Ovis aries: one gene and its partners. The protein of the gene in region 1 interacts with the protein of each later gene in a biochemical or structural test. Links are inferred from orthologs where the notes say so. Each region holds a gene or a part of one and is shown in the gene's direction. Other genes may lie near its edges.

Region 1 (3,500 bases):
ACGAGGCTCAAAGTTGTGACCTAGACCTAGTTCTGAGATCCCAAGTCTCACTCCAGTCTTATCGGTTGTCACATAGGGTGATGCTGGTGCCCCTGGAGCCCCTGGTAGCCAGGGTGCCCCTGGCCTTCAAGGAATGCCTGGTGAACGAGGTGCAGCTGGCCTTCCAGGCCCTAAGGGTGACAGAGTAAGTGGAACTCCCCCTCCCTCGAGCTTTGTGTAGCTCCCATCTCTCTCTGCTTTGAATCCCTCAGCATCTTTCTTTCTGCTCCCTCGGGTGTTTTCCTCTTCTTAATCCTTCTCTGGCCTCTTGGTTATCATCTACCTATAGTTCAGGCCCTGCCCTTCCCATGTGTTACCATGGCGACAAGCAGGAGTGGGTGCCTCCTAGACTAGGGATCTCTTATTTGGGAGCTTCTTAGCCTAAAGTGTTAGTCGCTCAGTTGTGTCCAACTCTTTCCAACCCCTGGACTGTAGCTCACCAGGCTCCTCTATCCATGGGATTTCCCAGGCAAGAGTACTGGAGTGGGTTGCCGTTTCCTTCTCCAGGGGATCTTGCTGACCCAGGGATGGAACCCAGGTCTTTCCTGGGAATCCCCACACAGGCGTCTTTCCCCTGGAAGTTCTTAGGTTCTTTGCACATGTCGGGGCAGGGCAAACATAAGCTGGGGAGGGGTCCCAGACACAAGCAGGATGCTGAAGGTCACCTCCTTGCCCCACGCCAGAAGTCTCAGGCTTTCCTGTGTCTTTAGGGGGATGCTGGTCCCAAAGGTGCTGATGGTGCTCCTGGCAAAGATGGCGTCCGTGGTCTGACTGGTCCCATCGGTCCTCCTGGCCCTGCTGGTGCCCCTGGTGACAAGGTGAGATGGCCCCCTTCTCACCTTCTTCCCTAACACACAGCTTCCCTTGTGAGCCTGGGCACAGCTCTGCTAGGGAGGCATTTCCTGCCACTCCAACCTGGCAACCCAACGGTGGGGTGACCAGGAGGGAGGAGGACTCTCCTGGGGTCATCGGGCAGGAGTATTCAGCGTGGCACCCTGATCCTGAGCCTCTTGTCCCTTCCTTTCAGGGTGAAACTGGTCCTAGCGGCCCAGCCGGTCCCACTGGAGCTCGTGGCGCCCCCGTAAGTACAGAAGACCTGGTTAAGGCTCCGTACCTGGCACTTCTCTCCATGTGCCCCCCAGCTCTCTTTCTGTCCCTTCTCACCTTAGCTCCCACTTGCTCTGGTCCCTGGGCAGTGCTCCTCAGGCCCTCCTCCCCACCCTCCTGTCCATCCTCACCTGCCTTCCCCCGAATCAGGGCCTCTCCCAATTTGCCTCCTTCTCTTCTAGGGTGACCGTGGTGAGCCTGGTCCCCCCGGCCCTGCTGGCTTCGCTGGCCCCCCTGTGAGTACCAAGATCCTTTTTATCTTCCATCCCCAACTAGGACCTGGGGCCTTGGGTGATTGGATGAGGACAGAGGCGTTGGCCGGGTTTACAGGCGGGTGGAGGGGAGATTGTCTCCCATTGAAAGCGTCTTCCTGCCTGGAGTTCCGGTGCCCCCTAGGCTGACTTCCTGGGTGAGCACAGACCTCTCCTCCACTCACCACGCTCCCTCCTCCCCCAGGGTGCTGATGGCCAACCTGGTGCTAAAGGCGAACCTGGTGATGCTGGTGCTAAAGGTGATGCTGGGCCCCCCGGGCCTGCTGGACCTGCTGGACCCCCTGGCCCCATTGTGAGTATCTCACTGCTTAGGTCCAAGCTGCCAGCAGGCTGGACCCAGGATCGGCCCAGCCTTGATGCCTCTGTGTTCTCCTCCAGGGTAACGTTGGTGCTCCTGGACCCAAAGGTGCTCGCGGCAGCGCTGGTCCCCCTGTGAGTACCCACTCTGCCTCTCCGCTGAAGTTTCCCCCAGGCAGCATTTGGAGGTGGGGCAGCTGGGCCAGGTGAGGGGGTGTTCTCCCTCTGATCACTTCTTTGTCCTCTTCTTCAGGGTGCTACTGGTTTCCCAGGTGCTGCTGGCCGAGTCGGTCCCCCTGGCCCCTCTGTAAGTGTCCGTGGTGGAGACTCCACTGGTCTGGGAAGGTGTGGGACACAGGCTGTCAAGAGTGTGGTGGGCCTGACTGAGGCCTCAGGAATGCTCCAGAATCTGCTGGACTCTGACAGTTGCAATTCTCCCCATCCAGGGAAATGCTGGACCCCCTGGCCCTCCTGGCCCTGCTGGCAAAGAAGGCAGCAAAGGCCCCCGTGGTGAGACTGGCCCCGCTGGGCGTGCCGGTGAAGTTGGTCCCCCTGGTCCCCCTGGCCCCGCTGGTGAGAAAGGAGCCCCTGGTGCTGACGGACCTGCTGTAAGTGACCCCTCCAGAGGGGTCCAGAGTTGGGGGGTGTCGTCCCTGGCCACTGGGAGTCATCTCACCCCTGTCTGCACCCCCACCACAGGGCGCTCCTGGCACTCCTGGACCTCAGGGTATTGCTGGACAGCGTGGTGTGGTCGGCCTGCCCGGTCAGAGAGGAGAAAGAGGCTTCCCTGGTCTTCCTGGCCCCTCTGTGAGTGCCCCCTTACCTTGGGGCAGGGCCTTTGCAGGATTTGGAGGGTGCAGGATGGGGGTGGTATGGTCAGCAAGGGCAAATGTGGGGGACCATCAGGCCCTCTCCCACCCCATCTCTGGCCTGACTCTTTCTTCTCCCTCAGGGTGAACCCGGCAAACAAGGTCCTTCTGGAGCAAGTGGTGAACGTGGCCCCCCTGGTCCCATGGGCCCCCCTGGATTGGCTGGACCCCCTGGCGAGTCTGGACGTGAGGTACATGGTTGCCAGCCCCACACCAGTGCCATCACTGTGGCCCTTTGGGCCTTGGCCTGAGGCTCCCTTTCCTTGACTGATGTTCACCTCCCCGCCTCCCCTGCAGGGAGCTCCTGGTGCTGAAGGATCCCCTGGACGAGATGGTGCTCCTGGCGCCAAGGTGAGATGGCTGCCTCAGGACCATAGCCCCACAGCCACTCCTACCAGGCCGCTTCAGCTGCGGCTCACTGGATTTCCCTCTCTCTTCTCAGGGTGACCGTGGTGAGACCGGCCCTGCTGGACCTCCTGGTGCTCCTGGTGCTCCCGGTGCCCCTGGCCCTGTTGGGCCTGCTGGCAAGAGTGGTGATCGTGGTGAGACTGTAAGTCGCTGGGCCTGGCTTGCTGCTTCTGCTCAGGCCAGGGACTCTCCAGACTTGCCAGGGGATCTGCAGGTGGACACTTGACTTCACCTAGGCAGGGGAAGAGAGGAGGACTTGCAAGATGTCTGGCCCTTGGTCTTCCTGAAAAAACTGAGCCATAGGAGTTTGGATTTTTTGAACCTGAACCCTCCTCACCATTCTCTTTGCTTGGCCTGCTGTAAACTTTCCTCTGCTCCAAACTCAGTTTGGAATGTTTATTAGGAAAAAAAAAAAAGTTGAGCCACAGCTCAGCCTCAAGGCCCCTCCCCAGCCAGTACACTGTTTCCCCCAAGGAAGGGGGTTTGTTCCCAGGTGCTCACCCCAGCT
Region 2 (3,500 bases), on another chromosome or scaffold:
GCACCGACTACATCGGCCACAAGACAAAGGACCTGCAAGCCATTTGTGGCATCTCATGTGACGAGCTGTCCAGCATGGTCCTAGAGCTCAGGGGTCTACGCACCATTGTGACCACGCTGCAGGACAGTATCCGCAAAGTGGTCAGTAGTCTCCACCCACCGCCTGTTAGCAGGAGCCCCTGCATGTGATGGTGATGATGCTGAGGGACTGAAAGTGAGGCTCGATGCTAATAACCTTTCTCCCCCTTTTAGACCGAAGAGAACAAAGAGCTGGCCAATGAGCTGAGGAGGCCCCCACTCTGCTACCACAACGGAGTCCAGTACAGGACTGGTGACGAGTGGACGGTGGACAGCTGCACTGAGTGTCGCTGCCAGGTAAGGCTCTCGACGGACTGAAACACAAATGGATGGCACACTCTCTGAAGAAAGAGCCAGATGGCTGCGGAGGCTCTTTTCATGTTCCATGGCTGGATACCCAAGTGGTGTCTTTTTCTTAAGATGCAGCTATGACATCTATAAAATCATTTAAATGCTCAGAGTTTTTCAAAGTCTTAATTATACCCCAGGCTAAGAATAATATCTAAAAGAGTATATCTATTTAAATATCTCGGTAACTTACCTGCTTTAGTTCAAGAGCTAAGTGTTGAATATCAGGTAAGTAAAATCAAGTTGGAACCCCCCCCCCACAACCTGATTCATATTTGGCTATGACATGGAGATTCTTTAATACAGTACTGATTGCTATTCAAATCACTTGGCCCAACATCATTAGAACTATCCACTTACCTCAGATGGTACTGCCTGTAGTGTATGTGTCCTTCTGGCTCACCCCCTACCCAACGCCAGGGGCAGAGGATTTTGGGGGGGTGTTGCTGGCTCATTGAGCAAAGTCAAGCTTAAATACAAATCATGGATTGCCGGATTTGGGAGCCACCTTTACTAAACTCCCATTTTTGTCCAATATTATATAAAGCCATATTTATATATGAGAAAGTAAGATGCTCATTGATCTTCTTTTCCCCATAAAGATGTAATTTAAAATTTTTAAAGTCCTGGCTGAGTTTCAGGAATTTGATTTTAGACACAGAGTAACAGATCTGACTCATGATATTAGGTGGTTCCAACTGCATAAATTCATGTTGTTCTGTGCATGAAGAAGTGACTAAGTGGCAATTGAGACGAATTCTAGAGGGATGGAGTGACAAGTAAGCAGCCCTTGAACTGTCTCTACAGTACTGGTGGCTGCCAAAAGACAGGCAGAGCTTCTATTAAAATCATTCCACTAGAGCATTTATAGCCCAGACGACATTTCAGCTTGTAATTGAAATGGTTCAGTATGTAAGCTTCTGCTTGCAATATGCTTAGTACCCATTTCTCCTTCACTGTTGCCCTGCAGAACTCAGTTACCATCTGCAAAAAAGTGTCCTGTCCCATCATGCCCTGCTCCAACGCCACAGTTCCTGATGGAGAATGCTGCCCACGGTGCTGGCGTAAGTTCCTAAGATTGTTGGCCATGCTTCAGTGACTGGATTGATTGTACATAATGCTGGAATACCAGTCCCATCTCTGTCACATGTTTTCATTCAGTTTCTTGCTACAGCATCTGGTTAGCTGATGGCTTGTCTGCTGTATACAACCAAAAAAATGCCATTATGACTAAATTACCCCCCTAATTGTGGTGTAGACAATAACCTTAGTATAGTTTATTGAGTATGATTCTGTGCTTTGAGAAAAGATGAGATGAATTGGTAGCAGCAGTAGCTTTAAGTTAACTGGATTTAGAATCTGACCTTGTGGCCTAGAGTCAGTAAAAATCTGCTCACTGGAGAAATTGATGGACTTAACTGGGCCTGAAAGTTCTACCCATTTTATCTACAGGCGTAGGAGACCTAAGAAAAAATAGTACTTTGAGTCTCAGGGCTCTGTAAGAAATTGTATTGTTTCATGGTACCCAGTCCCTGGGTTTTGCTGCCAGTATAATTAATCACTTTGCTGAGACACTGTAGTAAGTACAAGTCATAAAGATGATTTATCACAACTAAGATGCATGAAACAGGAAAGTAGCACTCCCCCTTCACATCCACGCCCCCCACACTCCCTGTTTCCTACACACACGGATCATAGCTCAGAAGAGCCAGTTCCCTTCAGAGATGTCAGTGACATTGGAACTGTCATAATCATTTGTACATTGCTTTCTGTTCAGCATTCACTTCAGATGTGGGTTAAAGGGAACAAGGCTAGCTAGGGACTAGCAGAGTGCTGAATTTTGAGTCAGGGATTACTAGGAAAACTTCGAACTGATGGCAAGAGAAAACAAAGTTCTCTATCTCCTGTCAGATACAGGACGTGATTGTAGTCATGGCGCCTGGGCAGATGGTAAACAAACACACTTCCCTCTTATGAAAATATGTGCAGAAAAGGCCCCAAATGCTAGGGTGAGAGGAGCAACCCGCTGACTGACCTCATGACTGATCCAGGGCCAGAGCCAACAGCGGCTCCGCTGCCTTCAGATTCATCTGCCAAACATGTGGGTCTCTGACTCTCCTGAAAGTCAGAAGTGATTCCTATAAGTTGCCTAAAACCCAAGTATTCTTGGAAGCCTGGGGCTGGAAATGCCTACCAAGACATCTTAAGTCAAAAAAGGGAAACTCATTTAAAATGCAGACTTGGAAGAAGGGGGCGAGGATGACTAGAAACATATGTGGGGGAAAGGTTCAGCTATACCGACCCAGGCAAAGCATGCAATTACCCCAAAGCTGTGCACAGAATGACCGCTTGGCCATTGGCCTAACAAATATATTGCTTTTCACTCTCTGGCATGGGAAGAAAGTCCAGAGCAGAGCAGCCCAAAGAATAGCTTGTTTTCATGATAACACACTAAATGCACCCATTTGCTCAGCAGCCAGCGACTCTGCAGACGATGGCTGGTCCCCGTGGTCTGAGTGGACCTCTTGCTCTGTGACCTGTGGCAATGGAATCCAGCAGCGTGGCCGCTCCTGCGACAGCCTCAACAACAGATGCGAGGGCTCCTCTGTGCAGACGCGGACCTGCCACATCCAGGAGTGTGACAAGAGATGTAAGTGTTGGGCCACTTGGGGATGTGGAGACCTGACTTGTCCTTGTTGTCACCAATAGCAACTTCAGAGCACAGAGGTTGAGGGCACAGGTTCTAGACTCTGATCTAATCCCAGTTCTCTGCCTTATCTGTGCACCCTTGAGCACAGCTTCTCCTCTCTGAGGCTCTTATCTGTAAATTGGGGGTAAAAATAGTGTAAAGATGTTTAGTTTGGCGAGTTTGAAGATGTGGTTTAGAGGATGCATTTAAAGTGTTAATGTAGAGCTTGGCTTGTGGGAAGCACCATATAACCATCAGCTTTGTCCTTTAGTTAAACAGGATGGAGGCTGGAGCCACTGGTCCCCGTGGTCATCTTGTTCCGTAACATGTGGAGATGGTGTGATCACAAGGATCCGGCTCTGCAACTCCCCCAGCCCCCAGATGAA
Region 3 (3,500 bases), on another chromosome or scaffold:
GATGAGATCAAGGTCGAGGGAACAGGGGATGTGCCTTTGCTCTTGTCCAATTGCAGAGTATTCTTCCCCCACCCCCTCCAATCTCCTTTGTTCAAAAGGTATGAAGAAACTGTGGCCCCGAGAGGCTGAGCCGGTGCCAAGGCCACCGACTGAAGAAGTAGCAAGAGAAGGGCAGGGGTGGGGAGAGCGACCTGGCCAGCACATTGGCCCTCGGGCAGGGAGTCAGGGTCTGTGCTGACCACCCCTGTGTTGACCCTAGACATCCCCCCCTGCCTGGACTCTGAGCTGACTGAATTCCCCCTGCGCATGCGGGACTGGCTGAAGAACGTCCTGGTCACGCTGTACGAGAGGGACGAGGACAACAACCTCCTGACCGAGAAGCAGAAGCTGCGAGTAAGGGTCTTTTCTCGTCCTGTCTCAGGGCACTTGCTCGACCGTGAGCTGGCCCTGACCTCGGGCCCCAGGCTGGCTGAGATCCCCAGTCCCATTCCCAGATCTAGGCCCCCAAATGTAAGCCCACATCCCTGCTCCAACGAGCACCTCTGTCCCGGGCTCTAGGACACAGACTCCTCCGTGCGGCCTTTGGAGGCTCCTAGAGCACATTCAGGGGCTTCCCAGGTGGCGTAGTGGTAGAGAACCCACCTGCCAGTGCAGGAGATGTAAGAGACACGGGTTCAATCCCTGGGCTGGGAAGATCCCCTGGAGGAAGGATGGCAACCCACTCCAGTATTCTTGCCTGGAGAATCCCACGGACAGAGGAACCTGGCTGGCTACATAGTCCATAGCGTTGAAAAGAGTCAAACACGACTGAAGTGACAGCACGCAGGCAGAGCACATGTACACGTTAAAGGCTCTGAGGGGTCCCGGAATGAACGGACCTGCTCACTTTGTTTAGGTCCATGTTAAGCACGAGACATAAACAATTCTATTCCTTTTTCTTTCTGAGTCTGTGGACTTTAAGGAACATATCAAGCACTAGGAGTACTGATAAAATACAGCTCCCTGGGCCCCACCTTAGCCACAATGAACCAGTGTCTCTGTGAAGGAAGGCCCAGGAAGCTGCATTTTGACACACTCCACAGTTATTCTGATTGAGATGGCCCCAGGCCTCCACTTCTGTGGATGAGATAATGATGGTACTCATCTAACCACTTCCTTCCCTCATTTGGTCTTTTTTTTTCCTGGCCACACTGCTCAGCATGTGGGATCTTAGGTCCCCGACAGGGATCAAACCTGCGCCTCCTGCAGTGGAAGCACAGAGTCTTAACCCCTGGACCCCCTTCCCTCATTCTGAACCCTGGAGTCCCCCTTCCCTCATCCTGAGCCCTGACTTTGGCTGGTCTCTGCCTACTCTGGCCTCCTGTCGGGGGGAAGGAACCTTGACTGGCCCGACAGCCTCCCCGGACCCTCTGCCACACAGCATCTCTGCTCCCACAGGTGAAGAAGATCCACGAGAATGAGAAGCGCCTGGAGGCTGGCGACCATCCCGTGGAACTGCTGGCCCGGGACTTCGAGAAGAACTACAACATGTACATCTTCCCTGTGCACTGGCAGTTCGGGCAGCTGGACCAGCACCCCATTGACGGGTAAGACCCCAGAACCTCAGGGTCACGGAGGGGAGCTGCCTCTAGCCTGGCCCTGGAGTGGACAGTCGCCACCAGGACTGCTGGGTGCTCTAGATGTGGTCAGAAGACTTCTCAGTGGCCTCTGCTGCTCCCAGCCCTGGAGGCCCATAGCTTGCCTAAGGGCTGCCACCGGAGAGGATAGGTGTAGGAGAAAGGATGGAGAAAGGATTTGGTACCATGAGACAATCCCTCCTTACTGCCTAAGAGGCAAAAGCCATCAGAACTGAAAACCCCTCCTTAACCCCATGAGTGCCAGCCTTGGGTATCCATTCAGCAAGGTAGAAGGAGCTGGGAAGGAGCGCCGGACTCCGTGGGGTGGCAAGGCTGAGGTGGGGGAGCAAGGCCCTAAGACCTGGCCCCAATGGGGCAAACTGGCTCTGGAAGTTCTTAAGACAATCACAGTGCCCATCCCATCTCCATGGCAAGCTCCTGGTTTGATCACTCCTGCCCCATGTTGAAATGAGTTAGGAAGTGCTGTGTAAATGCCCTGTGGGATAGGCCAGGAGTTGGTCAGTGAACCAACATTTATTGAGTGTCTATTACATGTCTAGCACAATTCCAGGCAGGGGATTTAACTGTACTCAGAACTGCCAAGTAGGCCCTTGCCCCCATGGAGCTCACCCCCTGGGTGGTGCTCTGTTTCTCACAATGGAAGGAAAAAGTAAGGAATGTGCCCGGAAGTTGCAGGTGGTGGCTGACCGTCTGCAGCCGAGCTGGACCGGCCCCTCTCGCCCCCGCCTTCCTTTGCTGTGCGCTCCTGGAGCAGGTCAAGAGGAGGGCCGCTCTGCTTGCGCCGGATGCCCAGGGCTGCTCCCCTCTGGGAGGCTCAACCCTCCCTCCCGGTCCAGCCCACCCTGTGGGTGATCCTGGGGGGCTGGGGTCTCCTGAGTGCTGGGAAACTGCCTGTAGCTTCTCTCCCAGGCTCTTTCCGTGGCTGAGATCCATCTGAGTCATACCCTGAAGGGGAGGGGAGATGTAGGGAACATCTGGACTCAGGCTGAGCAAGGAAGGGGCCTGGAGGGAGGCTTCCAGATGGGGCTGCAAGGACCCTGCATCTGGGAAAACAGCCTGGGTCAGAGGATCCGTCCTCCCCCTCTCCTTGTCCCAGAGCTGCCTGGTGACCTTGCCTGAGTCCCTGCCCCTCTCTGGGGCTCACTTTCCTCACTGATATACAAAGAAGGGGGAGGAGCTTCAGTTCAACCTATCCCTTCCACGAGTTGGGCCAGATAGGAGGGCCCGGGGGTCCTTGGGGAAGAGTGTTTTGAGGACAACTAATGGAGGGCTCTGGGGAACAAGGGGAAAAAATCCTACATGTGCTCTGGAGTCCAGGCCAGCTGGGAGGACAGGAACAGAGGAGATGGGGAGAGAAACCAGAAGGCCTCCTTCTCACATGGGACACAGTACATAAAAGATAAAGTTCTACTCACCCTCCGCCTGCCAATTCCAGTCCCTTCCCACACTCCCTCCCCCAGAAGTCAGCACCCTCTTCCTGTTCTTTTTCTGGCCACACATCTTAAGGGATCATAGTTTCCTGACCAGGGATCAAACTGGGCCCTTAGCAGTGGAAGTGCAGAGTCTCAACACTGGACTGCTGGGGAAACCCCACCCCTGCTCTCCAAGTTTTTCAGTACTCTCTTCACCTTGAGGCATCTCTTTTTCATCTCTTTTCTGAGCATTTGCAGATGTATAAATGTGTGTCTGCAGAAAACATGCATTGTTGTTTCATACCAGATTTTGATCTACCAATAGCGGAAATGCTGAATATCTTCAGCGTTTGTGCCCTCAAGTCTTAGCCAATTAGGAAACAATGAAATGCACCAAGAGACCTGTGTTATGAACCCACAGATCTTAGACCTGGAAGGGCCCTTTAGACGT

The links. The genes of interacting proteins can lie anywhere in the genome.
Region 2: the proteins of COL1A1 (region 1) and THBS1 form a complex in vitro, tested with the Homo sapiens proteins (2 studies listed by BioGRID). The link is inferred for Ovis aries from reciprocal best matches to the Homo sapiens genes COL1A1 and THBS1.
Region 3: the proteins of COL1A1 (region 1) and SPARC form a complex in vitro, tested with the Homo sapiens proteins (2 studies listed by BioGRID). The link is inferred for Ovis aries from reciprocal best matches to the Homo sapiens genes COL1A1 and SPARC.

Annotation. Positions count from the first base shown.
Region 1 is NC_056064.1:36,201,118-36,204,617, forward strand, and holds part of COL1A1 (collagen alpha-1(I) chain), read left to right. Parts: intron 1-76; coding exon 77-184; intron 185-749; coding exon 750-857; intron 858-1,066; coding exon 1,067-1,120; intron 1,121-1,328; coding exon 1,329-1,382; intron 1,383-1,602; coding exon 1,603-1,710; intron 1,711-1,796; coding exon 1,797-1,850; intron 1,851-1,968; coding exon 1,969-2,022; intron 2,023-2,161; coding exon 2,162-2,323; intron 2,324-2,414; coding exon 2,415-2,522; intron 2,523-2,667; coding exon 2,668-2,775; intron 2,776-2,881; coding exon 2,882-2,935; intron 2,936-3,026; coding exon 3,027-3,134; intron 3,135-3,500. UniProt on the Homo sapiens protein: Type I collagen is a member of group I collagen (fibrillar forming collagen).
Region 2 is NC_056060.1:33,437,131-33,440,630, forward strand, and holds part of THBS1 (thrombospondin-1), read left to right. Parts: coding exon 1-140; intron 141-251; coding exon 252-374; intron 375-1,395; coding exon 1,396-1,489; intron 1,490-2,898; coding exon 2,899-3,075; intron 3,076-3,385; coding exon 3,386-3,500. UniProt on the Homo sapiens protein: Adhesive glycoprotein that mediates cell-to-cell and cell-to-matrix interactions.
Region 3 is NC_056058.1:60,652,272-60,655,771, reverse strand, and holds part of SPARC (SPARC precursor), read left to right. Parts: intron 1-259; coding exon 260-393; intron 394-1,437; coding exon 1,438-1,586; intron 1,587-3,500.